7 separate regions of the Mus musculus genome follow, and all the other regions are reported to be linked to region 1. Evidence: microRNA targets listed by miRTarBase, many of them from high-throughput screens and not tested one by one. Region 1 holds a microRNA gene; each other region holds the end of a gene's coding sequence.
Evidence for each region. The annotated mature microRNA mmu-miR-541-5p reads AAGGGAUUCUGAUGUUGGUCACACU and lies in region 1 at 2,686-2,710, shown strand. An mRNA with a match to its seed (bases 2 to 7 or 8) in the 3' UTR can be bound and repressed. Matches are read on the target gene's strand: a 7mer-m8 pairs with bases 2 to 8, a 7mer-A1 pairs with bases 2 to 7 and ends in A, and an 8mer does both.

Region 2: the mRNA of Plch1 is a reported target of mmu-miR-541-5p. The part of its 3' UTR that is shown has no 7-base or 8-base seed match.
Region 3: the mRNA of Ip6k1 is a reported target of mmu-miR-541-5p. The part of its 3' UTR that is shown has no 7-base or 8-base seed match.
Region 4: miRTarBase lists Slc6a6 as a target of mmu-miR-541-5p. Seed matches in the 3' UTR shown: 7mer-m8 at 2,651-2,657 and 8mer at 7-14.
Region 5: miRTarBase lists Gabpb2 as a target of mmu-miR-541-5p. The part of its 3' UTR that is shown has no 7-base or 8-base seed match.
Region 6: the mRNA of Phyhip is a reported target of mmu-miR-541-5p. The part of its 3' UTR that is shown has no 7-base or 8-base seed match.
Region 7: the mRNA of Cds2 is a reported target of mmu-miR-541-5p. Seed matches in the 3' UTR shown: 8mer at 2,308-2,315.

What each region holds. Positions count from the first base shown.
Region 1 is chr12:109,739,737-109,743,802 of GRCm38, forward strand. Mir541 (microRNA 541) reads left to right here and starts at 2,673; the gene lies at 2,673-2,762. Mirg (miRNA containing gene) reads left to right here. Exons shown (of 8, transcript NR_028265.1): 3 at 1,954-2,079; 4 at 2,326-2,554; 5 at 3,621-3,682; 6 at 3,930-4,066. It overlaps Mir377 (microRNA 377), which reads left to right and starts at 774; the gene lies at 774-841. Mir409 (microRNA 409) reads left to right here and starts at 3,422; the gene lies at 3,422-3,500. It also overlaps Mir412, Mir369 and Mir410.
Region 2 is chr3:63,694,175-63,698,240 of GRCm38, forward strand. Plch1 (phospholipase C, eta 1) reads right to left here. Exons shown (of 24, transcript NM_001370984.1): 24 at 2,060-4,066. The coding sequence ends at 3,259. Among named protein-coding and RNA genes, the nearest start is that of Plch1, 200 kb to the right of the region's middle.
Region 3 is chr9:108,045,598-108,049,663 of GRCm38, forward strand. It overlaps Ip6k1 (inositol hexaphosphate kinase 1), which reads left to right. Exons shown (of 6, transcript NM_013785.2): 6 at 1-3,185. The coding sequence ends at 375. Gmppb (GDP-mannose pyrophosphorylase B) reads left to right here and starts at 3,667. Exons shown (of 9, transcript NM_177910.4): 1 at 3,667-4,048. The coding sequence starts at 3,920.
Region 4 is chr6:91,754,522-91,758,587 of GRCm38, reverse strand. Slc6a6 (solute carrier family 6 (neurotransmitter transporter, taurine), member 6) reads right to left here. Exons shown (of 15, transcript NM_009320.4): 15 at 1-3,674. The coding sequence ends at 3,531. Among named protein-coding and RNA genes, the nearest start is that of Gm44981, 35 kb to the right of the region's middle.
Region 5 is chr3:95,185,225-95,189,290 of GRCm38, reverse strand. Gabpb2 (GA repeat binding protein, beta 2) reads left to right here. Exons shown (of 10, transcript NM_029885.1): 9 at 7-137; 10 at 316-4,066. The coding sequence ends at 621. Among named protein-coding and RNA genes, the nearest start is that of Sema6c, 23 kb to the right of the region's middle.
Region 6 is chr14:70,466,560-70,470,625 of GRCm38, forward strand. It overlaps Phyhip (phytanoyl-CoA hydroxylase interacting protein), which reads left to right. Exons shown (of 5, transcript NM_145981.3): 5 at 242-2,265. The coding sequence ends at 776. Among named protein-coding and RNA genes, the nearest start is that of Phyhip, 11 kb to the left of the region's middle.
Region 7 is chr2:132,304,739-132,308,804 of GRCm38, reverse strand. Cds2 (CDP-diacylglycerol synthase (phosphatidate cytidylyltransferase) 2) reads right to left here. Exons shown (of 13, transcript NM_138651.7): 12 at 3,849-3,952; 13 at 1-3,652. The coding sequence ends at 3,520. Among named protein-coding and RNA genes, the nearest start is that of Gm46766, 43 kb to the right of the region's middle.

The DNA.
Region 1 (4,066 bases):
CTGAGAGTGTTAATGGCTGCTTATAAGGTATGTATTCACGCTGAATGTGTGTTCAGTATTTTGAGAGTGCCTGGTTTCCCCCAGAAAGTTGGAAAACCATTGGCTTTTATAATGATAGTTGTTGCATGAATGTCCTTACTCTGTGGATCTCTTCCCACCCTCTAGAACACAGGTTCCTTGAGCTCAGAAACCCCATCTAATGCTCGTAGGTGCACACAGGACGAATGATGCTGAGTGAATGGCAGTTGGACATGTTTTCTTTGTTGAACCCTCTTTGAGGCCTCTCAGAAGCCAGAGAGAATAGAGGACGGTGCAGACACCTTGTACCCTGATGCTGCTGGTTTGTCTGTGCGGTCTCTCAGGATACTGCCTTGGAAAGGGAGTTATCCTCTTTTAGGTCAGCCTTCATTGGTGGGCAGGATGGACCCTACTACACAGAGAGTCATGGTTTCTTCTATGTCAAACCTACCTCAGGACTTCTCTAGGAGAAACACTTTGGGATTCAGACTTGGTGTCCGTGTGCTTCTGGGTGAGTGACCAGTTTCTGGCCAAAGCCTGGATGTCTGTACAAGTCTCTGGCCACCTGTAGGCAGGAGAGAACTCTGCAAGTCAGTCCATTGCTAGTCTGCTTTGCAGTTGGACCTGGGGGCTCATCGGAGGTAATGCCAGCCTCCCTAGAGGGTGGGAGTCAGGGAGCCAGAGCCGAGGGAGGCAGGGCTGCCTGGGGAAGAGGCGCCCTGCTCAACTCTCGGCCTGTGCTGACGTTTGATTCTTGAGCAGAGGTTGCCCTTGGTGAATTCGCTTTATTGATGTTGAATCACACAAAGGCAACTTTTGTTTGAGTATCAAAGCCTGCTTGGGGTGGCATTGGGGACACGTTACAAAGTTCTGGGGTCTCTGCAAATGTCATGTGCTAGAATGGAAGGTGTGGATATGGGGATGGTCAGGAAGGGGTGTGGCTCAGAACGCCACGTGACCAGACATGTAGTCCCAGGAACCAATGGAGAGATGCCAATATCTACTCCCTGACTCTTCTCAGCCTGAATCCTCTTTGTCACACCAGCACCTAGCCCCCCTAGTTGCAGACACACTCGCTGTTCTATCTCTACTCTGAAGATACCTTGACAAAATGAACTCTGTCCTTTGACAGTGTCAAGGACAATGGCAGCCTTCCCTCCCCACCCCCTTCCTCTCCTCAACTCACTGGGTCAGGAGTGCTCACATACCATCTGTTTTTCCCCCCTCCCACCCCACCCCCTCAACACACCTCTGTCTGTTTCTCTTTCGTCCTCATCGCTCACCAAACCTTGTTCTCCATTTTTGGATGGGTTAGGAAATGAATAGAGGCGACCAGCATTTCATCCCGTTTACATTAAATAATAGTGATAAAATAATCACAAAATAACACCACAAACTACCAGAATAGCTTGGAGGAAAATGTGTTCAATTGACTACAAATTGGCAGAAGAATCCAATTTTCTTGACAACATTTGAGCTGCGACATTTGACCTGGGGAAACAGTACTCTGTAGACATGGCAGCCGCAAGGGGCAGCTTCAGTAGTGGCGGATGCTATGAGCAGTAATATTTGTGGTAGATGAACGCACATTGAGGAATCAAATCTTCGTTCAGATTTTTAAATGGGAAAGAATTGATCCTAATGAAAATGATTTGAGGAAATAACAAGGGAAATAAAAGAAATGAAAATGGCCCAACAGCACAGTCAAGGAAGCTAAACAGGGAATTGGATTAGTTTAATGGAATTTACTTTAAAAAAAAAAAAAGGAAAGAAATGCATGTTTTTTTATGAAAATCAATGTGGGTGTGGTGTTTGAGATGGGGAAATCTATGGATATAGACTAGAGCTAGTGGGGTGATAAGAAGGACTGGTCACCATGTGGGTTTTTTTTTTTAATGTGGCTAAACTTTATTTTCCCATCCCAAACCTTTACAGAGAGCTTCATGGAGTATTCAGAAGCTGGCGGGTGTCACCTGGAGGATGTGACTGGGTACCAGTGCCAGAGCACGTGCCCACTGAGCAGTCTTCTTCACTTTCCTCGATCCTCATGAAACATTCCGGGTAAGACACTGGTTCTGGGGAGTCTGCTCTTGCCGAGCAGTTGGTACCTGGAACATTCTAGGGCCTGCCCTTCCTTGGGTTTCCATGTTGCCAGCTCCCAGGGCTAGGCTTAAAGACGTACCCATTGTTGGTGCTGAAGGGCTAGGCCCGTACGGGAGGTCATTTTAGAGTGGATGTATCCAGGGTCTAATATACTATCTGGGGTGTGATGAGCACCAGGTTTCATGGTGGCTCTCTTTCCAAAAGGATCTTTACCTCAAAGGACTCCAGAGGCTACATCATTGTCTTGGAACTGGTCAGTGGCTGGAGCTCTCTCCAGGACAAGTGCTTGGAGGAAGAACCTGGACAAGCTTCCCTCCCCATACTGTTGACTGGATCTTGTAGCTACCGTTAGCCACCATCATCGCCATTGTGTGCCTCTTAGGAGCATTTCCAGGAGGTGATGCCAGCTGGGGAAAGAGCCTCTGTCCCACAGGTCAGTTTCCAGAACACCTACATGAAGCTGCCCGTGGCGTCTTTTCCCCGTATGACACACTGCATGTGACCAGTCTCTTGCTGCCCTGCAGCAAGGCTAGAAGCCTGTGTGAACTCTTGCCAAAATCAGAGAAGGGATTCTGATGTTGGTCACACTCCAAGAGTTTTAAAATGAGTGGCGAACACAGAATCCATACTCTGCTTATGGCCTAAGTCAATGGATCCTGACCCTTACTGGAGAGCCCTCCCTGGCGTGCTCGTGCGGGGCAGCCATACACACTGGCACAAGGGGACCCTGCGGGATCTCCTTCCGCTGTTCTTTCTCTCCTCCCTCCATGTTTATCTTTGAAGCATTACTTGCTTGGTTTATAGGACTGGATGGTCAAGCAGTTCTTGCTATGACATCACCGTGGGGGGAGGGGGCAGGTGACAGGGCGGGGATGCCAGGGTCGTGGGGCTGCAGTGGTTGGGTGGGCCCAAGGAGGAGCATCTCTGGATGATGCAGTCATTGCCTCCTCGCTTCTGGAAGGCATCGTCTCTGGGAGGGTGGTGTGGTATATGCGCAGGGTCTCAGCATCTCCCTATCTCCAGCTTACAAAGGAGAGATAGAGTAAGCAGAGTTCTGCACCCACTTCTGCCCCGAGTCAGCTCCTCGCTACCTGGGTCTCAAGGTTGTCTGGGAAGGCTTTAGATATTCTTGGAAGGTGAAAGGGTGGTAGATTGCACTGGGGAGGTGATGGAATAATTGCTTTCACGTGGTGGAGGGTGGCTCCTCACTGAATGGGGAGTTATAATCTCTGAGGGGCTCCAGGATGGTTCTTCTGGAAACTCAGCCATCGGCCTCGTTCTGAGCATCCGAGCCTCTCCGTGGTACTCGGAGAGAGGTTACCCGAGCAACTTTGCATCTGGAGGACGAATGTTGCTCGGTGAACCCCTTTTCGGTATCAAATCCCTCCAGGGAGGCCACCTCAGGGAAGACCATGGACTCATCTCGCTCTGGGGTATGGGACGGATGGTCGACCAGCTGGAAAGTAATTGTTTCTAATGTACTTCACCTGGTCCACTAGCCGTCGGTGCCCGCTGCAGCCTGCGCCCAGGATGTCACAGCCTCAGCTCAACACCTCTGCTGGTACTTGAAGGGAGATCGACCGTGTTATATTCGCTTGGCTGACTTCGAATAATACATGGTTGATCTTTTCTCAGTATCAACGCTCAGCTTGGAGAAGCTCTTGGAGTTGCAGCCCCTGTGGGGGTGGGGACAGCATGGTGCTTCTAGGTTGCTGCCTCCGCGGGGAACTGGGCTGGGTGGAACAGGCTGTGTGCTGCCTGTGTCAACCCTACTCACCATTTATATGCAATCCCCCCCTTCCCCCCAGGACAGCTTCAGGTGGTGATTCCAGCTCCAGGGTTGCTGCGGTCAACACTGGGTACTTGAGGAGAGGTTGTCTGTGATGAGTTCGCTTTATTAATGACGAATATAACACAGATGGCCTGTTTTCAATACCACCTGCCA
Region 2 (4,066 bases), not on the chromosome of region 1:
CTGTGTGATGTCAGCTACCTGACCACAAGCAACTAAGTAGTCGCTAAATTAAAACGGGATTAGAAAGCTGGGCTGGATAGGAACAGGAAAAGTAACTAACATGTAGAAAGATCAATGGTTGTAACCACATGGAACCACTTGGAACAAGGTCTTATGAGAATACAATCGGCAGATATCAGGCGTGCTATTTTCTTTCCCATTTTACTTAAGCTTCTCATTCACCAATTTACTGACTGTACATACATGCTGGGTCCTAGGCTGGGAAAAGGGCACAAGGCATGGTCACTGCCTATGGCTAATGGAGGAAACAGAAGTGTGAATATGCCAACATAATACAGTGGAATCTAAGGTTCTGAAGTACATGGGAGGCTTGATAATTTTAGAAGAATGAGTCAAAGTTCTATGCAAAGTTATAGGACCTTACTTTGTTCATATAAAGGATTTTAAGTGGGAAAGTTCCTTGATGAGATTCACATTAAGCACCATTGCTTCTGTCCTCTGTGTTTGTCTTTACCGTTAAACTCTTCCAGCCACCTCATTGCTTAGACTTGGAACATCAGTGCAGCCTCTAAGGAAAAAGCCTCAAGGAAACCAAAACTCCACAGGGCTTGTCGCAAGTCAGAGTTGCAGAAACTAGCAGCTCCTCACACAGTCAGCACTGCAAAGCCTGCTAGCATCTTGATAGAGACGTCTCTTGTTTGGTTTCCTTGGGACTGACTCAGGCCCGCATCTGTCCTCTGAACAAGAGAAATCTCAATGAGCAGGATCTGAACATCAGATGCTTTTTATTAAAACGAAGCTTTATTGCCTCCTCTTGGTTAATACAGAACTCTCAAATGACTATCGTGAAACTGGTTTCTCTTCTTTTCCTGTGATCTGTCTCTTGGAAGATTGTAGTATGTATATGGCCAAAAACATGGACACTGAAAGAACCCCTGTACTACCTAGCTCCTGTCTGCAAACATTCATCTTATGAATGGATACATGATTTTTCTTTCCTATTTTAACTTTTAGAGTAAAGAGTGCTTAAATCATAAAACACAGCTAAATTCTCTTCATAGCCATGTAGTTTCTAAATCTCTGTGTTAGATCAATGGTTTCTAAAATAAAAATGGTAACAGATGAACTAAGGTCACAAGAGAGAACATTAGAGGTTCAAAGGCCACAAGACAGAAGAAATGCTTCAAGCTCATTAAGAGAATTGAAATGAGTTTTGGTCCCTTTCCCCTTGATATTTCTTCTTCCAACAAATTTCTAGGTTTATGAATGATGACTCCTAGCATGAGAGAAAAGCTAAGAGTTGGGACTGAATGGAGCAGGGACTGACGGCCTAATGGCTTCTCTCCCCATGACAGACAGACAGACAGACAGACAGACAGACAGACACACACACACACACACACACACACACACACACACACACAAGACAAGCAAAGCATCTCCTGAACTTTCCCCATGTTTGTTCCTCCATAGCCACCTATTACAATCTCTGCCACTGGACTAGTTGACAAGAATTATTTTTAAACTTGCAAATCCATACTAAGTGCAGAAAAACAATTCCATTTGATATCTGTTTAAGGACCTTACAAATATACAGGATCTTCAATATAACGATGTCACTGGATAGAAGCTTCAGTGGTTAAGAGCCCTTGTTGCTCTTGCAGACCACCCAGGTTCTGCTCCCAAAACCCACATAGAGCAGCAAAACTGTGTAATTCTAGTTCCAAAAGATCCTCGGCCCTCTTCTGACCACTTCAGGCACTAGGCACATACATGCTATACATACATATAAGCAAAATATGTATGTGCATGTATATGTACATATATATAAAGTATATACAATACTTTAATATATATTTAAAACAAAAAATGAGTATATTATTCAACATAATGAAAAATTTCAGACACATAAACTGCTGCATAAAACCATCCCTGACAATAAAAGACCCCACTTTTGCTACAAACACATAGAAAGGAGGACATATCCTGGTCCCCCATTCAACAGTTATCACACACACTCCAGCTGTGGCTTTGTTTTTGTTTTATAAACAAAATCATCAAGTGTTCAAAAATCTGCTTTAATTATATTTTTATGAGGTCCAGGAAGAACATCATTGTAATTCATGGTACAAAAAGCAAATGACATCTGAACATGCAATAAAAAATGGATCCACAATGAAAATAATATATGTCGGTACTAAAATAGAGTTACTTGGTTCCCTAAAGGGAAAAGGCTTCTTTTAATTATCTATTCACTTGGATTATGAGAAAATACTTTTTTTCTTGATTGCTTTGGGGAAGTGTCTGTTTGTCCTACTTTGGGTTTTAAGTTTAATGTAAGTCTCTCACTATCTTTTCGTTGTTGCTGTTTTAAGACAGGGACTGAGTACATAGCTTTGATTGGCCTGGAGCTTACTATGTAGATCAGGCTGGCCTCAAACTCATCTGCTTCTACTGGGATTAAAGTCGGGAACCACCATCCCCAGCTGAACGTCTCTCATTCGGAAAGCCATTATTTTCAATCTATAATATTACATCATCCAAAAGAATGACAGATAGCTTGGCAACTGGATTCTTGTTACATACAAGGCCATTAGCAAAAATATGTAACAAAATTTCATGCAAAACAAACTAATTTGCCCTTATATACAGAAGTTCGCTTTCTTCCTCATAGTCCATTCTAAAAGGGACTTGGGGTTGGTGAGCTGCTATCCATCTTCATGGAATTCCTACTTTGGGTGGCATGTGGAAATCATAAAGGGCAATGTAACCACTTAAAACATCTCTTTTAAATGGATTATAAAACTGAATCTGAGTCTCTCAATTCAGAAGGAAAATGTAACTTCACATAAAGAATCCATCCCTTTATGGTTTTCAAAGTTTAATCTTAATGAGCTCAACACTTAGTGAGTAACGGTGACAGCCTCTGGGACTGTGATCGGAGGACATGGGGAAACACATTTTTTTGTGTGCAACATATGCACTCTATGACCCAAGCTGCTGAGAAGTTTCACATAAGGGCATGCACACATTTCATACTAACATAGTTTACAACACCTTGGGGGAAAGATCATGGATTCCTGGGAAAGGCCACAGAATCTATATACAAATGCATGAGGCAAAGGGAGACCAAAATACAAGTTTAAAAATACATTTGGAAATCATTTCAAAGCCCAGTATCATATTTCCTGACAATGGAAAAAAATCTAACATCTTCTAGAGTATCATGTAAACAATGAAAATGCAACTTTATATAATTCAAAGCCTCAAAAGAAAATAAATTTCGGGTTTATCTTCGCTGCTTGGCTCAGTCTGCAGAACTGAATTATCTGAACAAAACTGGTCCATGTAGCCATAGCGAAGGGCCGTGCACGCTCCCTCTGGGATGCCTCGACCCTCTAGGCCACCAGCTTTCATGTTCCTCAGGTAGCTTGCAATGTATGAGCCCGTGGAGTGACGGTTCACGGCCAGAGCAGGAGCGGGCGGTTTACTTCTAAGGACCACTCCTCCTCTGGTGCTCTGGGCCATAGCTTTTTGCTTGCCAGCTTCCTGCTTCTCCTTGGCACGGCTAGCAATGTTGCGCACTCTGCTCTGACTTCTAGACGACAACTTTCTGACTAATGCCCTGGGACACTGATTGACATCCTGCTTTGAGTAGAGCACTTGACAGCTGTCTTCTTGGTCAAAGGACACCAGCTTCCGGAGCTGTTCAGTCAGGGCGTCTAAAGGCTCTAATGACTTTGTCTTCATAGTCACGCTCTTGTCCCTAATGCCGTTTGTCACAAAGCTCCTACTAATACATTGATATTTGCTTTCAAAATTGCAGGCAATGTCCTCTGATGTTAAGTCCCCCAGACTTTTGGATTTGCATGGGCTTGGCAGTTTCAAAGCAGCCAAAGGAGCATGTGTTGATGGTGTAGGTGTAGGGGCATGCATATCTGGAGCCCTAGGCTGCTGGGGCTCACAGATTTGGTTCGTTTTTGCATCTGAACTTGAGAAATGGTTATACACAAAGCCAGCACCCTGATAGGTTAGATGAGAAATACTGTGATTTTTGACACCTGGA
Region 3 (4,066 bases), not on the chromosome of region 1:
CCAATCCTGAGCAAACTGCGGGGCCTCAAAGCCGTACTGGAGCGGCAGGCCTCCTACCGCTTCTACTCCAGCTCCCTGCTTGTCATCTATGATGGCAAGGAGTGCCGGTCTGAGCTACGTCTCAAGCACGTGGACATGGGGCTCCCTGAGGTGCCACCACCCTGTGGCCCCAGCACCAGTCCTAGCAGCACCAGTCTTGAGGCTGGCCCCTCTTCTCCGCCCAAGGTGGATGTTCGCATGATTGACTTTGCACACAGCACATTCAAGGGCTTCCGGGATGACCCCACTGTTCACGATGGGCCAGACAGAGGCTATGTGTTTGGCTTGGAGAATCTTATCAGCATCATGGAGCAGATGCGGGATGAGAACCAGTAGGCCCTGTGCTGGGCCTAGGACCCCCCTCCTCTCCACCCACAGGCAGGGACCATTGCTCTGAACTTGCTGTGAGGACACACAGACTTGCTTTTAAAGGGTTATATTTCTCTTTGGTGTAAACTAAAAGAAATGTTTTTAGCTGTAGCCTGGAATCCATATATATAAAGTAGAGGAGGGCAGAACATTTGTCCTCTCAGCCAGGCTCCTTAGCTCTGTGGCTGTGACTGCTGTGTCCAGGCTGTCTCAGGAAGGAAGAGGTGGCCCCAGTGGGCTTGACAGCAAAGAGAATGAATGCCTTGAACTTTGGTCTCCCTTGCCTAAGGCGTTTGGGATCTGTGGCTGTGGGGCTCTGCTGATGGTGAGGTGAAGCCCTCGGCTGGCACACGGTCTCCATGCCCAATCATCCCTTATTTCCCAGAACTGGGGAAGGTTAAGTGCCCACGTCCTGAGGGCCATCTTAGTTTCGTGCCAGTGCTGTAACAGATGCCTCAGGGCATTAGAGGGCTAGCTGCACAGACGGACTCACCCTTGGGTCTGATTTTGGCATGGGGCTAGATCGGTGAAACTGAGCTAAGGCCAACTCAGCAGAGGGCAGGCCCTGGGCTCCCTAGGCACCCACTGGCATGTAACCCTGTTCCTCTCTCCACAACTCGAGCCAGCCTCTTGCTGGGATCCCTGACCTAAGGAGGCCTCATAGCCTCCTATCCCACTAAGATGGGCACAGCTGTTTGCTGAGGAGAGCCAGTGTCCCAGGAGGCCTAAGGGCGGGACTTTAGTGGCTCTGGCCCAGACAGTATTTGCAGTTCTGGGCTCTGGGTGGCATCCCTTCCTCACCTGGGGCAGCTGTGCTGCTTGTGGGTGGGCTGCTGCTCCCAGGGCTCAGGAACCGTGGTCCGCTCAGGGTCTTGTCTTCTCCAGGCCAAGCTCAAGGCAGCAGCCCTGTATGTGGTGCTCCAGGCTCTAGGCCTGGAGGGAGAACTTTAAACTTGTTTGCTTTTAGGGACATAGGGCCCTGGGCACAGGTGCCCAGCGTCTGCTGAGAGCTTTGATTAATCCTGGGGTTTGTCAGTAAGTCCATTTGTCCACCTGCTAGCCCCTGTCTCATGGTGAGCTTTCTGGAGTATAGCCTTGTTGGTTAGTATATATTGATTTCCTTCATGCTTCCCCCAGCAGTCTTCTCCTTTCCTTTTCTGAGGTGAGTCTGCTCCTGTGCCCCTCCTCAGCAGGTTCTGCTGTTACAAACCTGGTGGCCAAATGATTCATAGTGGTGTTTACCTGCTAGCCCAGTGGCCTTCTTGTGGGCCTGGGGTATGGCCTTCAGCACCAACGGTGGGTAATGAAGGCTCAGGGTTGACCCTGACCTATTGCTTTTATTTCTGCTACCAGTCCTTTCATGGTAGAGACCTGCTGCTGCCTGTAACATAGTGTCCGACAGGTTACACTACACCAATCATTGCCAAGGTGAGCAACAGTCTCCAAGTCTATCACTTCTAACATGTCTCTGTTTTGGCATTTGAAGGTAATCCTGCCAACCTTTGAGAGAAACTGTTAACGAATGGCATAATTTCCAGGTTCTTAGAGATGCAGCCTCTGAAAAGGGTTCTGTGACGGATCCAAGTCAGTCTTCTGACCCTGGTGCCATTGGTGGGCAGGTTCCCATTCCTTAGGGCCGGGAGGCACGGCTTGGCCCATCTCTGCTTACTAACACCTGTCTTCTGTCCAGTAGTAGTGTTGCTTGTGCCATGCAGGCAGCAAGTGTTAATTAGCGTGGACACCTTTTCTTTGGCAGGATAGAGGTCAAGAGAGGAGTTTGGGGCCAGCAGAGACCTCCTAGGAATGTGCTGTACTTCCGATTTACCAGATTTTGGGAGGTGCTGCCCCCATTCTGCTGCTTCTCAAGTAGCAAGGGAGTTGGTAGGCACTGCTCCTGCCACTGCAAGCGAGGAAAGGCTGGGATTTGCCGCTGCTCAAGGGCAGGGCCTCACTTTTCAGCACTTTTGATATCTGGAGGCCCAGCTCTGTTATCTGATAGGTGGTGGCAAGTGTGTGCGAACACTTTTACCACTGCTCTTCTGCCTGTCCCAGGCTAGAGCCCTGTCTTTTTCCTGACAGGTCCTGCCTTCCCAATCATCAATTTGGGACCAAAGTGCAACTAGGGATCATGGGTTGGGAGCTCACATTACCCCTTTCCATTGTATTTCCCGGGCCAAGCCCATACCAGCCCGGGGAGATGGGTGGGAGTGAAATGGGATGGGTGCTGCTGGAAGAGGAAGGGACCAGTAGAGCAATGTCCTTGCCTGGGATTCTACCCCTCTCAGCTGTGGGCCGTGCAGTGGTGTGGGGATTCATTCTCTCCTAGGGGCAAGGGACCTGGGCTCGGACAGTATCCGTTCAGTATCCGCTGCTCATTCGCTCACATCTGGCCACGTGCACGTTCCCTAGATGCAAACTGCTTTGAACTTTACAGCTATATAAGTTGGTTGTGTGTGTGTGCTCATTTTAAAAACTACATTTTAACGAGGAAAAAGGAGAACCTGGGGAAATTTCCTTTGCTTCTGTGGAGGAAATGTAAGACTTGGAATTCTGGAAATTGTTATCTGCTCCTCTTTCCTGGAAGCTACACACCCTAAGACCTGCGCCTGGATGCATACGTGGCTCCACTGGCGCTTAGGCGCGCTTGCATTTTCCCCAGGTCTTCTGTGTGGTGGAGAGGAGTGCTTGGCCCAAGCCGGCCCTTTTCTGTACACCCAGCGCTATCCGCCCGCTTGTGTCTGGTCGTATACGTCAAAATAAAGCCTCTAGAAACTGAACTCTGTCCAAGTCTGTGTGAAAACTTCATCGCCTCCGGTTGGGCCGACATGGCTAGTCTAGGGATCGGGCTGAGCTGGGTCGGGACAGGTGCAGCGGGACAGTGCTGACACTGGGGGTGGGGGGTCGGGGGAGGCAGCACGGGAGGGGTTGGATATAGGGGTCAGAGCAAGTGTTGAGGGGCGGGGTCATCAGGGCGAACCTGGAGTGGCCTTTGGGGGGGTAGGCGGCGTCGGCGGGGCGGGGCGGGGCGGGGCGGGGCAGATGGCAGCTGCCGCGTGGCGGACTGGGTTCCGATAGGAAGCTAAGCCTCCTCTTTCGGTTCCGCCTTTAGATCCGCCAATGGGCATCTGACTCGCGAGTTCTCCGGGTCCCCATGGCAGCCCAGGGCGTTGGAAATCTAATTGGCTACGTCCGCCGCAGCGTAAAGTCTGACGCTCGGCTGCGGGCGGCCCTGCCACGTAGATTGGCTCTCCCTGTTACGTCACTGGCTGCGCCGCCTCCGGCCGGAACTCCGGACCAGCCGGTCTCCAACCAGTTCCTCGTCTTCTGTTCTGGCTGATCCTGGACCCCACATCAGGGTAGAGCAGGGGGGCGAGGTGACACCAGAGTTGGTCAGTCTAGTTGGTGAAACGTGCAGGTCAGGGCACGGCGTTGGGAGTGCGCGGCAGGGGTCGGTCAGGCGGCCTGTAAGTACTTTGGACCGATAGATCCACTTCTAACATCTGCAGACGCCATGAAGGCACTGATCTTGGTGGGAGGGTATGGGACACGGTTGCGGCCGCTGACGTTGAGCACTCCGAAGCCATTGGTGGACTTCTGCAATAAGCCCATCTTGCTGCATCAAGTGGAGGCGCTTGCTGCGGTAAGGCCGTGGGTCTGT
Region 4 (4,066 bases), not on the chromosome of region 1:
AGTTGTTAGGGATTGGAAAGATTAATTGTTTTTAAAAAAAGAAAATGGAACTACCATCTCATTTTGAAGCCAAATATATAATAAGATGCTCTGTCCTTCAGGGAACATGCCAGAACATGCCTGTAATGACAATGACACCACTCCTCCCTCCCAGAGAGCATGGACAGCCAGTTTCCTGTGAAGGTCTGACTCCTAGGCGATCAGATGGAGGAGGGGAGGAGGGAGCACTGCTCTGGCTTCCGGGATGCCCCTCTCCATCTTGGAGTATCTGGGTTTTGTTGTGTGTGTGGTTTGGGGCTTGATGAAGGAAGGGGTGTGCACACAGAGGTATTTACAGTGTCCATAGGGACAGGGGTCTCAGGTTTGAGTGGGACTGTGAGGGGCCTTCTCTAAGGTGCCTTCCTGGCTTGTGTCTGCATCTTGGAGAGAGGAACTGGGCTGGCACCTGTTAGACTGGTTGCTAGAGCATTGCCCCGTCCCGAGAGGCAGGACTGGAATGCTGTCGGCCATGGTGGTGACACACTGTGATAGAGAAAGCCCCTTCCTGTGCAGAGGGGGCGAGTGCTGCTTTCTCCTCATGCGCTGCCATGGTCTGCGTGGCTTTCCATGGTAGGGTATGGAGCTGAGGTGAGGACTGGAGGCCAGAGGCAGAGAGGGAAAAGAAACCCTCTCAGGCTACTTCCTGCATAGCCTTGGGCTACATGGAGGTCAAAGGCCTGCCCATACACCCTAGCTAAGGCTCTTCACACTAGTGATGTCTTTGGCCCTCAGTTTCCTGTGGTACAACTTGAGGGGAGGGTGTATCAATTCCTAGTTCCCAAAGGCTTTGGAGGAGAAAGGAAGGAAGGAAGGGTGGCACGGGGCCGGGGTGAGCAGGGCGGTAAGGACTGGCACACGTGGGTATTGCTCTGTGTTCCATGAATATGGAGCAAGGGCCCTCATCAGCTCTGGCCTTTGGTTGACAGGGAAGGCTTGACAGTTTACTTAGACAATGCCCTGGACCTGCCTTCCCTCTACTAAGTCTTGGAGAACCTGAAGCTACAAATGACTCAAATGTCCAGTTCCACTTAGCTCACAGTGTAAGTCCCCACACTAGGCCTATTCTCCTGATTACATAAGTGCCTTGGATCAGGGCCCTCTGGGGCTGCCCACAGTGCCCAGCAGGGACCCTCCATTTGGGAGGTCACATCACTCTTAGGACCAAATAACATCTCCCAGGGTCTCCTGGGCCCACCTAATGTCCTCATCTAAACCAGGCAATGTCCCTTGCTTCCTGTCTCCATCTGACAGGCAGGACAGGATCTGGCCTGTTCCAGGCAAGGGCTGGTTGGTGAACAGCTTAGCCCTCTCTCCAGGAGGCAGGCGGACCAGAGTCACGAGCTCTACTTCAAAATGTTACTTACATGCAGACGTGAAAAGACAAGCATCACAATAAGGGTCATCAGGGGCAGGGGCGGGGTGAGAGTGGGGGCCACTGAAGACAGGTGAGGGGACACTGCTGGGGAGTGGGCTCGGGAGGCGGCTGGCCTTCCAAATCCAGGCAGGGCCTGGGGACTTGGCCCGCTGTGTCTTTGGTCTAGAATTCGATCTGGGAATGATTAAAAAAAGCCTTTCTCAGGCCATTTCCAGAATGGTGCCATTTGTCTGCCAACCCAAAATACTGAAGGCTCGCCAGAGGGGCGTGCCCGGTGGGGGTTAGGGGTAGGGTAGACGGGCATGACCACAGACACTGCCACAGCTGGACGAGCCCCCCTCTCCCTTACACTTCACCTGTCTTTCAGTCACCCACAGTGGTTACTTTTAAGGTTCCGTTGAACGAAAGAAAACCAGGGTACATTACAAGTCGGTAAAATCGGGGAAGGAGAACTCCAAACACTCAAAATAACACGAGAGCAACCAGAAATACACAGGACAACAGGAACACAGTACAATCATGGGTGGCTGAGTCAACAGCCACTGGAAGAGGATTAGAGGGTCACTTGGCAGAGTACATTGCTTTGGAGACAGGAAAAAATGTGTACATTTGTCAAAGAAGTTCAGGATGGCACAGTTGGGCCCAGTGGAGGCTGGGGTGAAGGTGTAGTGCCCTCTCCTGGTTCAGAAGCTGACATTGGGCAGCTCTGGAGTACTGACCTCACTTCTGTGGAGATAGCTTCAACTGACCGAAACTTCCCTTCGCCTTCCCTCTGCCGTCCCCTGGGGGCAAACGCCTGTCCAACAGCCAATGCAGTGGCTTGGAAATCATCTGAGGTCACTACCAAGCTGGCTCTGTACTGGAACTCAGATCCTTTAAGATCCAGGGTCTACAGCCACTTGGAGCACTCCTTGCTGGGAGCTGCTGGATGGTTCTGGGGTGGTAACTTTCACAAGAGTTTGTCAAGAGGCAAGGAAGAATAGTGCCCTCCTGGGGTACACTTGCCAGCCTGGGGTACACTCACCCTCCTGAGCTGCTAATATCATTTGGTCCACTGGCCTCCCTCACCCCGGGCCCTCACCAAAATACATTCTGCTTGGGGAATACTCTGGTCACCACCCACCATGACTCCACTCAAATACCGCAGACACTTCCTGAGTGTGACCCCCACTCTGAAGCCCCAGCAGCTCCTGTGGCCTGGCTTCGGGCAGCCATACTGAGTGTTCAAGAAAGGACAGGGATTCGGCCTACGCCTGCAGAGGCAGGCTCCCAGACCTGAGCCACATCCTCACCAGACATTCAGACGTCCCATCCCTGCCTGTAATACCCATGGTGGTTCAGCCAGTCCCACTGACTACCACCCATGTCTTCTTCCAAGTAAGAGGGCAGGCGTTTGGCCCTGGTACAACCGCTTCAGCTGCTCTGAGATCTATCATTCATGCTGAGGGTGGGCCAGTATTTTGGCATCTTTCTTGTTGGCTGAGGGTCCATAGCCCTGCTCTCTCCTGCCCCTCAGGTCTGTTCAGCTAGTGGGGGGGGGGGGCTCCCTCTCCTCAGCTGTGTTCTTCCTCCTGAACCAGCTCAGAAGGGACTACACCGTTCTTGAAGATGTATCCACTATCATAGGAAAATTCCACCCAGCATTCAGGTTTTTTTTTTTTTTCTCTTTTTTCATTTGTTTTTGGGCAGAACTTTCTGCCAGCTATATAAGCACCGAAGAATTGCTTTTGAAAAACGAGATCCATTGCTGGCAAGACCAATTCAAGTGGCAAAGTGTATGACAGACTCTAAGTATATATAGTTATATGTTAAAAAAAATACAAAGAAAAATTTACCAAGTTCCCACAAAATACATGGAAATCAATATGAAAGTCCATCCTCTTCCCCAGGACGTAGGCCTATGGGTTTTCTTTTTGTACAAAATATCCCCCAAACAAAACAAAACACACATATACAGACATACACGATACACATACACACACACATAGAGTAACATTTTCTGTGACAATTAAAAAAAAAAATCCTAGTACAAATATAAAGCTCTGTAAACCTGGTCCTATGAGAATCTAACGTTAGTAAACAGCAGGAAAGCGGCGCCTGTCACATGGCCCGGACCTCACATCATGGTCTCCACAATGACGTGACTGGGTTTCATGAGTGCGCCGTTCATGAGGGTTACTCGGGAGTGAAAGGGTGTGGCCCCTTCACGCTCCACAGCCCAGCGGTTGGGCTCCCTGGGGGTTATCAGGTATTTGATTCTCTGTGGAAGAAAGAGGAGCAGATCAGGAGTGGATTACGGAGGGTCCTTCCCACCCACCTCTAGAACATCCCAGGCATCTGCCACCCTTTCTGGCCCTTTTATGGATCTTTTCTAAATGGAGTGATCCCCCCAGCCAACCCCTGTATTCTTGCTTACAGACAGGGTACACACATGACCTCCACAGGCAGATTTCTTTCCCCTGAGGAGTTGAGTCCTATCTCCCCATGGTTTATTCTCCCGGGTTTCTCTGACTTTCTGCTTCTACAGTATGTCTTAGAGTTGGAAAACTGACCTAATCCTTCCTCTTTTCCAGACCCCGCCCCCAAGAAGAAATTTGTACTCCTTGGTCTCCCTTCAGGAGACAGTTCCTCAAGAAGCTCCATCTCCTGAAG
Region 5 (4,066 bases), not on the chromosome of region 1:
TTGTAGTTCTAACTGTGCCTGCTGGTCAGGTTGCAGAGGAGACAATAATTGAAGATGAAGAAGAGGAAGAAGAGAAATTGCCATTGGTGAAGAGACCAAGGATGGCAGAGATGACAAACAGGGTTGAGGAAATGAAGGTAATGAATGCTTACCAGTGAGCAGAGGAGGAGGAAGGCATGGACACCATGGTGAGCAGAGGAGGAGGAGGGCATGGACACCATGGTGGTTAGGGCTGACGCCCTCTTCATTTTTCCGTCTTCATCTGGGAAGTTCATACTCGGGATTCTTACTGTGTTGCCGCTGATTGCTTTACAGGAAGGCAGTGAAAGAGAGCTACTGCAGCAACAGCTCCAGGAGGCCAACCGAAGAGCCCAGGAGTACAGACACCAGCTCCTCAAGAAAGAGCAGGAGGCCGAGCAGTATCGGCTCAGGCTGGAGGCTATGGCTCAGCAGCAGACCAACGGAGTTGAAGTTGATGTCACCGTAGTTGAGGAAGTAGCTGAAGTGGATGCTGTAGTGGTGACAGAAGGGGACGAGGTAGAAAGAGCAACACAAGTCATGAAGTCAGGAAGGACCACGGAGCCTCACACTAACGTTTCCATAGAAACTATTTCATCCTAACACCAACGGCTACAACTTGTGCTCACTCATCATATTCTTTGTAAGAAGAAAGTATAGACTGCAGGTACTGCATACAAATTAGAATGTCCTTAAGAGGGTAACAATAGCCGGGCTCAAGGCCTGAGCCTAGGAAGGCTGTGTGTGCAGCTGGAAAACTCAGAGCCACTTTAGGGGCATCTGAGGGACCAAAGGACCAGGACCAAATCTCTCAGCTCATATCGTTGCTTTAAACAGAGTACTGGGCATTGTAGGTTGAATTTCTTTTTTAATAGTTAGCTTTATATCGAAAGATTTTAAGATAGTACTTGTAATACATATACACCAAGAGCCTTTAATAGTTACACCTGAAATTTTTCAAGTGGCCTGAAAATATGCCTTAGATTTATGAGATTGATGCAGTTGTAGGAAGCCTCCTCTTGAGGAAAAGTAAAGGATAGCATACAGTTGTAAAGAGCAGGCACACAAGTTCTCCCTAGTTAACCTACTGAAAAGAAGTCCCTAAGCCAGGCGTGGTAGTACACACCTGTGATGTCAGCACTCAGGAAGCTGCAACAGGAAGTTATTTGAGGTCAGCCTGAGCTAAAGAGAGTCCTTCAATAAAAGAGGGCCAGATGTGGTGACACATGCCTTGAGTTCCAGCACTCGGGAAGTAGACACAGGCAGATCTCTGTTGAGTTCAAGGCCATGTGGTCTACGTACCAAGTTCCAGGCCAGGCAAGGCTACACAGTGGGACCCTGTCTTCACATATAGCAGAGCACAGCTGGGGTGGAGAAGTGGTGCTTGCTCTTCCAGAGAACCTGGGTTCCATTCCTAGCACCCGAGTCAAGCTGCTCACAATTACATGTCCATCCAGCTCCCAGGGATCATGCCCTTTTCTGGCATGTGTGTATATCCACACACATACATTTATATATACATATCAATGAAAGAGTTTTAAATTAATAACAAAAAAATTAAACTAGTTGAATGCAGTGGTTCACACTTTGGGAACCTGAAACAGAAAGATTACGAGTTTAAAGCCAGCTTGAACTCCATTGTGAGTTACAGGTCAGCCTAGGCTACAGTGTGGGATCTTAGTGCAAGAGAAAAATCAAGTGTCATGGTGTGCACCTCTAATTGTAGCACTCAGGAGGTAGAGGCAGGAGGATCTCTAAGTTTGAGGCCAGCCTAGTCTACAAAGAGTTCTGGTATAGCCAGGGCTATACAGAGACACTGCCTCAAAAATAGAGAAAAATTAGCAAAGAAGGGCTGACTTAGGAATACCTGATAAATTGTGTCCATTGCTTAGATACAGTATAAAAAAAAAAATAGGCATAGTGGCACAGCCTATAATCCCAGCACTTGGGAGGTGAGACGGAAGACCACTGTAAGTTAAAGATCAGCTTTGGCTTCAGTGAGATCTTTCTCAAAATAACAGCAAAAACCCGGAAATGACCAGATGGAGCAGTGACGGGCTCTCATCCCTGCACTTGGGGAGCAGAGGCAAGCAGGTCCTTGGGATTCTAACTAGCCTGGCCCACAGGGTCAGTTCCAGCCTAGCAGGATTACTCAGACCCTAACAAGGACTCCCTGAGGACATAGTTCAGTGGTAGAACGTGGTGCTTAGCTTGCAAGGAAGCCCTGGGTTCGTCCTTTGACACTGTATGTACACAGCGAGAGGAGGGCAGAAGTGCAGGGAAGAAAACCGTTGACAGCAGACTTAAACTCAGGAGAGAAGCTGTGCTGCTGATGGGTAGAAGCTATGTGCAGAGCAGCACCCTCCAGGCTGTGCTTCCAGAGAGAGGCTTCTGGGCTCTGAGTCTCTGGTCTTGAGATGGAAACTATATATTGGCTGGACTTTATAAACCTGCAAGCAGGAGGATCACTTTCAAAAGTTTTTAAATTAATTTTTATTTGTCATTGTAACAACATCTTTCATCCAAACATCTATTTATATAAAGTCAAGCCTAAAACTCTTTAAATTATATAAAATTTGGCCAAATTTTCTGTGTCATGTGGGACACTGGTGCTTTCTGTAGCACTGAGCACTCTGTCAAACACAAAGCAGTGTGGCAGACTGACCAGGCTGGGGAGGTTTGCCCCTGTTGATTTAGTGTGAGTGCATTGCTGCTTCTGTTAGTGTGGCCATGGAGTCTGTGCCCTGTAGTGCTCAGGTGACAAAGGGAGCAGGTATCACTGCCACAGCAAGGAGCCACCCCAGGCCCATTGCTGACCTCCCCTCTCCCTTACTCCACATTCCCCTTGCTCAGACACTTGAAACATTTTCAGTGCTAGGCTTTTGAGGAAGGGTTGGGGCAGGTCTCTCTAGCATGAAGTGTGTGTTTGTGTTTGTATAGCTGGGCACGGTACTCATGCCTGTTAGCAGTCAAGAGCTATAGGAGGAGGGTTGACATGAGTGCAAGGCCAGCCTGAACTACATTGTGTGAACCTGTCTCAAAAACCACAAAAATTAGACACCTGAGCATTGTGCCTCGTGCCTGTAATCCCCACTCAGAGGATCACTGGGGGTCTCAGATGAGACTTCTAGGCAATACAGTGAGATGTACTCTAGGGCAACATGGACCACAGAGACTATATAGTCCAGGATGTCTTGTACTGTAGTCCCTTGTATGTCTTTTTATGAGGTCCTGGGTTCAATCCCCAGGACTGCAAAAAACAATATTTAAACGTCTTATAGACAGGATGTGATAGTACATGTCTACAGTCCCAGAACTGGGCGAGGGAGGCAAGAGGTCAGACGGCGAGAGTCATCCTTGGCAATTTCTCAAGTTTGAGGCCTGCTTACACCAAAGTGGGAGAGGAATAAGCACTCAGAGAGGGATTGGGGTAGGTGATGGGTAACGTAGAATTGCTTGCCTTATTGTACAGGTGCCAAGTACACTTTTGAATAACTGTTGAGAATAGGTTTCCTGATTAGTGATCATGAAGAAAACATGCATTTTTAACCTGGAAAGAGCTTGGCAGTTAACATGGTTCTGGTTACCTTGATTAGTGGGATAATTTGTTGCAGTGTTTCAGAGGTATAGAATCATTTTTGGCTCAAAATAGACTGAAAACATAATTCTCCAAATCACATTTAACAAAATTGAATATTAGAGGTTTATAGGCAAAAATAACCATTTTGAAGTTAACCTTGACTGCTAGCACTGTCTGCTCCAGGGATCTGAGCATCAGGGATGATCTAGTGTGTAGAGAGTGTTGTGGGAGCACAGGGAGGAGGCGTGTGAGGTTGAGGATCCGTCTGCTGTGGATTCTTCTGTTTGCAGCGCTCTTCTGAGACACCCAGGAAATGGGGTGCTAGCAGTAAGCTATTGTGAGTGGCATTTCAGAGCCTTGGTAACTAGAGGGAGCAGGTTTCTTTGTAGGTGGCTTTTGTTTACATCCTTAGAGCACATGTTGAGTTTAATTTCCTTCCTTCTTTTAAAGGAATAGATGCTAACTGCA
Region 6 (4,066 bases), not on the chromosome of region 1:
ACCCACCCCACCCCCGTGTCAGGCTCCCTATTAGGTGGCTGCACACAGACTAAGGCAGAGACTACTTTCATCCTCAGATTCTAGTCAGGGAGACAGCACGGAAGGACTCAATGTCTGCAAGTAGTGGAGGCTGCAAGCTAGCAGGAATGCTGGGAGTTGGGCTGGCTCACTCTCTTCTTAACTTCAGAGTGCTAACCCGTGGCATTTCCCCCTCTCTTTGGCATTCCTCCCTGCTGGGCAGGACCCACTGTGGGAACGTACTGCAGCCTTACCTGAAGGACAACAGCGGTAGCCACGGCTCCCCCACCAGCGGCATGCTGCACGGGGTCTTCTTCAGCTGCAACACGGAGTTCAACACAGGCCAGCCCCCGCAGGACTCCCCTTACGGCCGCTGGCGCTTCCAGATCCCTGCCCAGCGCCTCTTCAACCCCAGCACCAACCTCTACTTTGCGGACTTCTACTGTATGTACACAGCCTACCACTATGCCATCTTGGTGCTGGCACCCAAAGGCTCCCTGGGGGACCGCTTCTGTCGTGACCGGCTGCCCCTCCTGGACATTGCCTGCAACAAGTTCCTGACCTGCAGTGTGGAGGATGGAGAGCTGATCTTCCGCCACGCTCAGGACCTCATCTTGGAGATCATCTACACCGAGCCTGTCGACCTGTCCCTGGGCACCCTGGGAGAGATCAGCGGGCACCAGCTCATGAGCCTGTCCACTGCTGACGCCAAGAAAGATCCCAGCTGCAAGACCTGCAACATCAGCGTGGGCCGCTAGGGACTCCTGGGGAGCCGGAGGGCAGGAGGGTGGGACGTGATGTGTGGCTTAGGTTTGGGGACCTGGCTTTCTCTCCCCTCTCCCTGCTCCCTCCACTTTGTCCACTACCCCCTCCTCCCTACGTTGGAGACAACGGAAGGTCTTAGCATGGCACAGTCCGGGCCTGGTGGACCTGGAGATGGGGGGGCTTCTCAGCAGGTGATAACCTCCTTTCCTGTTTCCCTCTTCTGGTTTTTGACCTCAAGCAGGCCTCCCTGAGTCCTCGGGCATCTCCCAGAGTCCTCCCTGCCTCTCGGGCCAATGCCCATGTATAGCCTGGCCTCCATATAGATGCAGAAAGCTGTGGGGTACCTCCTTCCTAGCCCCACCCACCCCACTCAGGGCTACCCCAGACAGCCCCCTTCTCACTCAGCTGGGCCTGAGGGCTTTGCCTCCTCCGTGCCAGTGCCAGGCTCCTCTCTCTATAAATAACCTCCTGCACTGCTGTCTTGCCCTGGCTGCCCCTGATCCCCCCAGAGCCCAATTCCCGCATGGGAGAACCGTCCATCCCTCCTGTCACTGTCGTTGACCCACTTGAGATGCCCTCCCACTCTCTGGAAAAGTACCCTCTCTCGTTTTCTAGTTTGGAGGGCTCGCTCTGGTTTCTTGAGATTTTCCTTTCTTCTATACATTCCTCAGCAAATCTCTCTCGCTCAGAGAGCACCCAGGTAGGCACAAAACAGCTGCTGGGGTCGAGGAGGGGGAAGGAGACCCCTGAGACCTGTTCCTCAGCCTGAAGCGGGTAACCTCATGTCTTGATGGGTCTGACAGAGCGAGAGAACTGAGTGTGACCCACAGGGCCCTGGCACCCTGCCCAGCTGTGCACTTTGCTCGCTCACCCGCTCACCCACCCGCTCTGCCTGAGAGTCATGACTGTTCTGTGCCATGTGAGCCAGATCTTTGGCTCTCTATCACACCATCCCTTGCTCTCTGGGCTAATCCCCTGGGGAGTTCCTGATGAATTCCCCGCCTCCCCCCCAGCTCCCTGTGTTTTCATCTTGTTCTTGCTGTTGTCTGGATCAGGAGGGCGGGGAGGGTGGACTCCCTGAGACAAGACAAGCAGGTAGAGACAGATTAGAGGGAGGGATTGTCATAGTAACATTTTCCGAGGTGACAGAGATGATACACAGGCAGCTGGACTTCTGTGAAGGACAGAGGAGCTGGCAGACCCACAGGGCCACACCTCTGAGGGACCGGTGAATGGCTGGCTACCAGAGACAGTGCTGGTAGACAGTCAGGTACCTCATGGGATGGGCCAAGAGATCTGGGATCCTGGGAACTATGTAGAGAAGAGGATTTGACACCCCCCACCCACCCACCCAAGGCCCTTCCCCTCTGCTGACAGCATTGTTGTGGTCGTGGCCTGCTGCCTTGTCTTCTGTCCCTGGGTGGGGCACACCCTTCTGTGCTGTGCTTGCCATGAGCATCAATAAACCACAATGGCCCAAGGGCTCCGTCTGTCTTGGTCCATTTAGGCGGCTACAATGAAATGTCACAGACCTGCAAACTCTCACCATTCTAGAAACTGAGAATTCTAAAACCTAGGTGTCTTCAGATGTGATGTCCTGGAAGATCCTGCTTTCTGATCATAGACAGCCATCTTTGCCTCATTTCTGTGTGCCCTACACCCCCACTAGGATGGAAGGGGTTTCCCTAGCCTTAAATTTCGTTTTTCATTTTATGGACACGTCAGTATACTGTGTCCATGCCTGGTACCTGGCCAAAAGAAGGGCCTGAGGACTGTAAACCACCATGTAAGTGCTGGGATTTGAACCTGGGTCCTTAGGACCCAGTGACCTTAAATGCTGAGCCATCTCTCCAGCAGGCCCTCTTTTTAAAAGATAGGGTTTCTAACCAAGTTAGTGTCCAACTCCCTATGTGAGATGCACTTGTACTTTTTCTGCCCCCACAGTGCTGGGGTTCCAGGCATGTGCCGCCACATCTGGTTTATAAGAAGCTGAGACTGAACCCAGGGATTTTTGCATACTAGACAAGCACTCTGCTGAGCCACATCTCAGCCTACCCTCCCCCCACCTCCACCCCCACCCCCAAGCACCCAGCTTCTTTCGTAAGGGCACTAGTCTCATTCACAAGGCCCCACCCTTAAGGAAGGCAAAGCCTCCTGAACCCATCACCATGGACGTTGAGTTTTGACCTGAGCTTTGGGTTCGGGGCATACGCAGGGCAATCGCAGCAGTGTCTCTGAGCCTGAGAAGTGGATGGAGTGGCTGAGTTGCTCTGTTCACCAGAGAGCTCACATGGGGATGCCACCTGAAGCCACATGGGCATGCCCCAATAGCAAACCCGATAGCATCCTTACAGTGGGTGGCAGAGCTGAGAATACAGGGGCACAGCTTTACCCGTGGAAGAGACTGGAGATCATGTGGTCTCACCTTGTACTTCCCAGATAGTGCGGGGAGATATCTAGGGAGGCCTCTTAGGGGAGTGTGCCTAAAACCCCTGGGCCCCTGATGGAGTCCTCTCTGCAGTCCCAGCCTGCCACCACTCAGACCCAGGTGCCACTGAATTTCCCTCTCCCAAGAGCTCTGTGTCCCCTCCTCCCTGGCAGGACTCCTCGGTTGCAGATCTGAGTCACCTCTGTGCCTATTATTATAGGCTTATTAAAATGGTTCTCGGCTGCAGTGGAAATGTTCCAGAACTGTCAGAGGCACCTTACCAACACCGCCTGAGTCAGGGCCAGGTTTACATGTGTCATGGGGCATGGCCACCTTGAGATAAAGAAAAACTGAAGGGCAGTTCACCTCAGCTGAGAGCCTGGGCTGGCAAACGTGTTGCTCCTTCCACACAGCAACTGGGCTTGTCTACATGACCCGGTATTATGCCGACCTCACAAATAAGAAACTGAGGCACAAAACTTAGAGGCTTGTACGTGACTGTGCCAATTCAGAAACTGGGATCTTACATTCATCAACCCCTGTTGGCTGCCTCCTTTAGAGTGTGTCAGTTTATGAGACAGTTAGAACCAGGCAGGTCCTAATCTCCCACGTAGTGGCCCTTTCGCCTGCTCTTTCAGCTAACCCAGAATGACGCCAGGGGGCGCTATAGAGTCACAAATGTCACAGAGGCTTATTTTAAAGGCGTGGGTAGCGTGAGCTCAGGATTGAAGGATGGGGAATGGATTCTTTTGCCTCTGGACAGTGTGGATTCTCAGAGTCCTTAAGAAGGGTGGGCTTCTGTCTTCCGTTTGAACGCCCTTCTGGGTCTCTTGGAAAAAGGGACTGGCTTTCAGT
Region 7 (4,066 bases), not on the chromosome of region 1:
CAGGGACCTGCCCTCCTCCCCATCAAAGCGCAGCACGCACATAAGCACAGTATGCAGGAGTGGTAGGCACAGCCAGGAATTACTCTAAAGACAAAGGCAACATGGCCTTAGACGTTACTAACACAAGTTTCAGTTGTGACATCACACACTGGTAACGAGGAAAAGGCTTTCCTGGAAATCTACCTCAGGCTGACTCCACGAGGAACACTTGACTGCCACACAGAACTTCGCGTGAGATGCTCTGTCCTGAGTCCTTAGGTCCCTCCTCCTCCCAGCTCCATCAACAGCAAGGACTGACCTTGGCTTGCCAATCGGTGAACTGAGGGATCCCTTCAGAGCAGGTCCCAGCCAACCCAACAATTAGGCCAACATATTCTCTTGAAATGTCCTGCTCAAGTTTTCTTGTATAATACAGGCTAGGTTACAGGATGAAAGCAAGCAGGGGCAAAATCCATAAAAACGGTTCCACAGTCCACCTGTGTGAGATTACATGGTATATTTCACACCTCTGGACACCGGCTCACACACACTACAGCACATTAAGAATACATTTTAAATGCGGTTATAAAGCAGAAACTAAAAGTCTGAGAATGTGAAATAGGCTCTGTGTGTGTGTGTGTGTGTGTGTGTGTGTGTGTGTGTGTGTGTTTGTACATGCGTGTGTGCACCCTGCACATTCTCTCCCAACTTCCTTATGGGACTTCACTTTCAGAAGACACAATGGGAACTTTTTTGACACTGAAGTGGTTAAGGGGTGAGAAACGTACACACAAAGGGAACACAGTTTTCCTGAGAACGACCATGAGTAGAACTCACCAGGAAGACACCCTGGCTTGTTCTCATGTCAGGCTGGTTTCTGGGACCAAATCTTTACTTCACCAGTTCTAAGCTAACAGCCATCTAAGCAGTGCCCAGGACTGGCCTGGTCAGGGCTCCAAGGCCTGCAGGAAGGAACACTGCAGTATTTCCCGGGTTGGGGCCTCGGGGAGTAGCTACTAACCCTGTCCCACAGGCACACTTTGAGATGGGGACTTTATGGTTCCACCCCATGGCTCTCACCTGAGACATCTCAGAGGCTGTGAGAACAGATGGCACACAGGCTGGCAAGCAGGAAAACTGCACAGTGTTTATGCTCACACAGCGGGAAACATAAAACCACACAACAAGTGACAAACACGGGACTCCTGACAAGGAAAAGCACGAACACTTTATTTCTGACACAACAAGATGAGTGTAAAGCAAGTTATGTGACCCACTGAGATCTGTGCGGTGCTGAGAAAGCAGTCTCTGGGCCTGCCTGCTTACTGGAACAAACAACACGCTATACAATCACAGGGTGGCACAATCGCAGGGTGGCACTGTTCTCCTGGCTACCTGACTGGGAAATTCTCCTCTTTCACAAGACTGGAGAACTCAGAATAGAAACCTGTGGCTGGCAGCTCCAATGAGCACTGGGTTTCAGTGTCTTAGGACACCAGCTTCCTCAAGCCTCAGCTGCTGCTGCCCGAGCGTGAGTTTTGGCTCCTGGGGCGCTGGGGTGTGGTGTGCCCTTCTCTACCTAGTTTAGTGATCCAAGGCCATTTTTCTATCAGAAGTGCAGTGTTGCTCCTAATCTCCACTGAGAATCTTAAGGAGCAATTGTAAAATACACCTCAGTGTATTTCCTTTTCCGGGTGCCCATGACATGACTTAATAGCAACAGGGGCTGAGAGTGACACGACCGTCTCCATGGAGTTGCCGAATTGGTGAACTTTGAGGGCAAGTCAGAGGACAGCCCTAAGGGCAAAGCTCCCACTAGGGGCCTCATGGCCAGAACCAAACTGAAGGCAGCAACACTGTGTTCAGTGCGGCCTGGGAGCTGAGAACAAAAATCCCCAATGCGGACAAGTCAGTCAAAGCTGAGAGACAAGGAGCTGCCCGCCCCGCCCCGCCCCCGTGCGCACAGCGGACACTCTGAGGGCTGGCTGAGTGTTGGAGGCCACAGGAAGACTAATCTGAAAACAAATTAGCACAGACCACGGTACTTGGGGAAGTCACTGCAGCCTCTCAGCGGTGGGCACACCGAGCAGGGCTGTGGGTTAGTTACCACTCTTGGGGAATAAGTTCCTTCCCTGCCAACTGCTCCTTTCCATGTCAAGCTCAACCTATTAGGAAGGGAAAGAATCACAGCTTACACAAACCCCAGCAGAAGGTCCCCAGGAAAGTACAAACTACAGCTACACCGGTCACATTTGATAAAGTGGACACTGAGTCTTGAAGAGCCAAGCCTCTTGACAGATTAGGCCGGCCACAGTTCTAAGCAGGATGTAGGGATTCTGAGGACGTTTGGGTATGACTAAAATCATGTAGGAAACAAGGTGACTTTTAAACAGACACACATACGCTCATCTCGAGAATACTATATACACAACACAGCAGCAACACAAGTGGGCTTCCAGGCAAAGGGTGTCTGAGCAAAAGTCCTCTGCTCCCCACCTCTTAGGGCTCCCCCAGAAGGACTCAGCACAGCAGCAAACCCGCGGCACAACCACAGAGGCCTCGACTCTAAAAGGTGCGGTCTACAGGACCACCCTCTAGAGGCCACTGTGCCTGGCTGGGGCAGAGAGGGCTGGGACAGTGCCCCCTGCTGCACACATCTGGAATATGTAAGGGCTTCTTTTCCATACTTCATAAATTCTTCATGCTTTCTGAGAAAAAGAAGTCTGAAATCTTCTCTCAGTCTATATGGTGAAAGCAAACTACATAAGCAAAGCTCACCTGCCCTCTGCAGAATTTTGGCTTGGACAGATGTTCATCTGATCAGAAAGCCTCTCCCTCACAGCTCTACAGAGGGCAGCCCCCACTGCTCTCACAGCTCTACAGAGGGCAGCCCCCACTGCTCTCACAGCTCTACAGAGGGCAGCCCCCACTGCTCTCACAGCTCTACAGAGGGCAGCCCCCCACTGCTCTCACAGCTCTACAGAGGGCAGCCCCCCACTGCTCTCACAGCTCTACAGAGGGCAGCCCCCACTGCTCTCACAGCTCTACAGAGGGCAGCCCCCACTGCTCTCAGACAGAGATGCCTGCAGAAGCCCCAACGAGAGGTGTCAAGGACAGCAAAAGCGTGGAGCCCGTGAAGGCCCGTGCAGGTGGGAAAGCCCTCAACTCATCACACACAGATCAATGTATGATCTCTCGCACAGCCCAGAAACAACTGGATGGGCAGGGGTTAGAGCCACCAAGCAGACACCCTGAGCTGGGCAACACTGCCCTTCATGTTGCTCAATACTTGTACTTCAGAAACCCAAATGGTTCTTTCCTGTGACTTCTTTGCAACTCAAAGCTACAGCTTACTCACTGCCCACACTATAAACAGACAGTATATACAGATTAAAAACCACACACGCACAAAAAGGAAAAAGAAAAAAAAATGACGGTGGTGAGTTGAAGCTTTTCATTATCTAAGTCACAGCAGCTGGGCGGCCTTGGCGACTGGCCCCCACTCCATCCTGCTCCAGCTCTCTGGGCCCCAGGTGGACTCTACTCATCTTCCAAGGCAGATGTCAGAATCCCCTTGTCAGTTAGGTGAGACTTGAGCGTGTTGAAGATGTGAAGCTGCTGATCTGGCCGCAACGTCAGAAACTGCTGGATCAGTTTGCTTGGGTTTGGACCCCTACAACAGAACATAAGGCACCCCTGAGCAGGGGCCAGCTGCCTCGCTGGCCCAGTTACCCATGGGGTGCTATGAGCCCTGGATTCACTATTAGTGGAGGGAGAGAGACCTCAGAGGATTTGTAAACACTCATGCTTTCAAAGCCCACTCAGCTGGATCCGGTGGAATATCTGGATCCGGTGGAGTAGTTCCGCACCTGATAAAGCTGGCGATGTACACATTGACAAAGGTGGCCATCAGGTACTGGCAGTCAAAGCGATCCATGATGCCTCCATGACCGGGAATGGTATTGGCAAAATCCTGTTAGAGGAAAAGGAAGGAAGGATGGGCCTGGGCTCACCAACAACCAAACTCCAGACTAATGGATCCACCCATGACCAAAACCCTGCTGGGCAGAGAAGGTGATGGACAGAG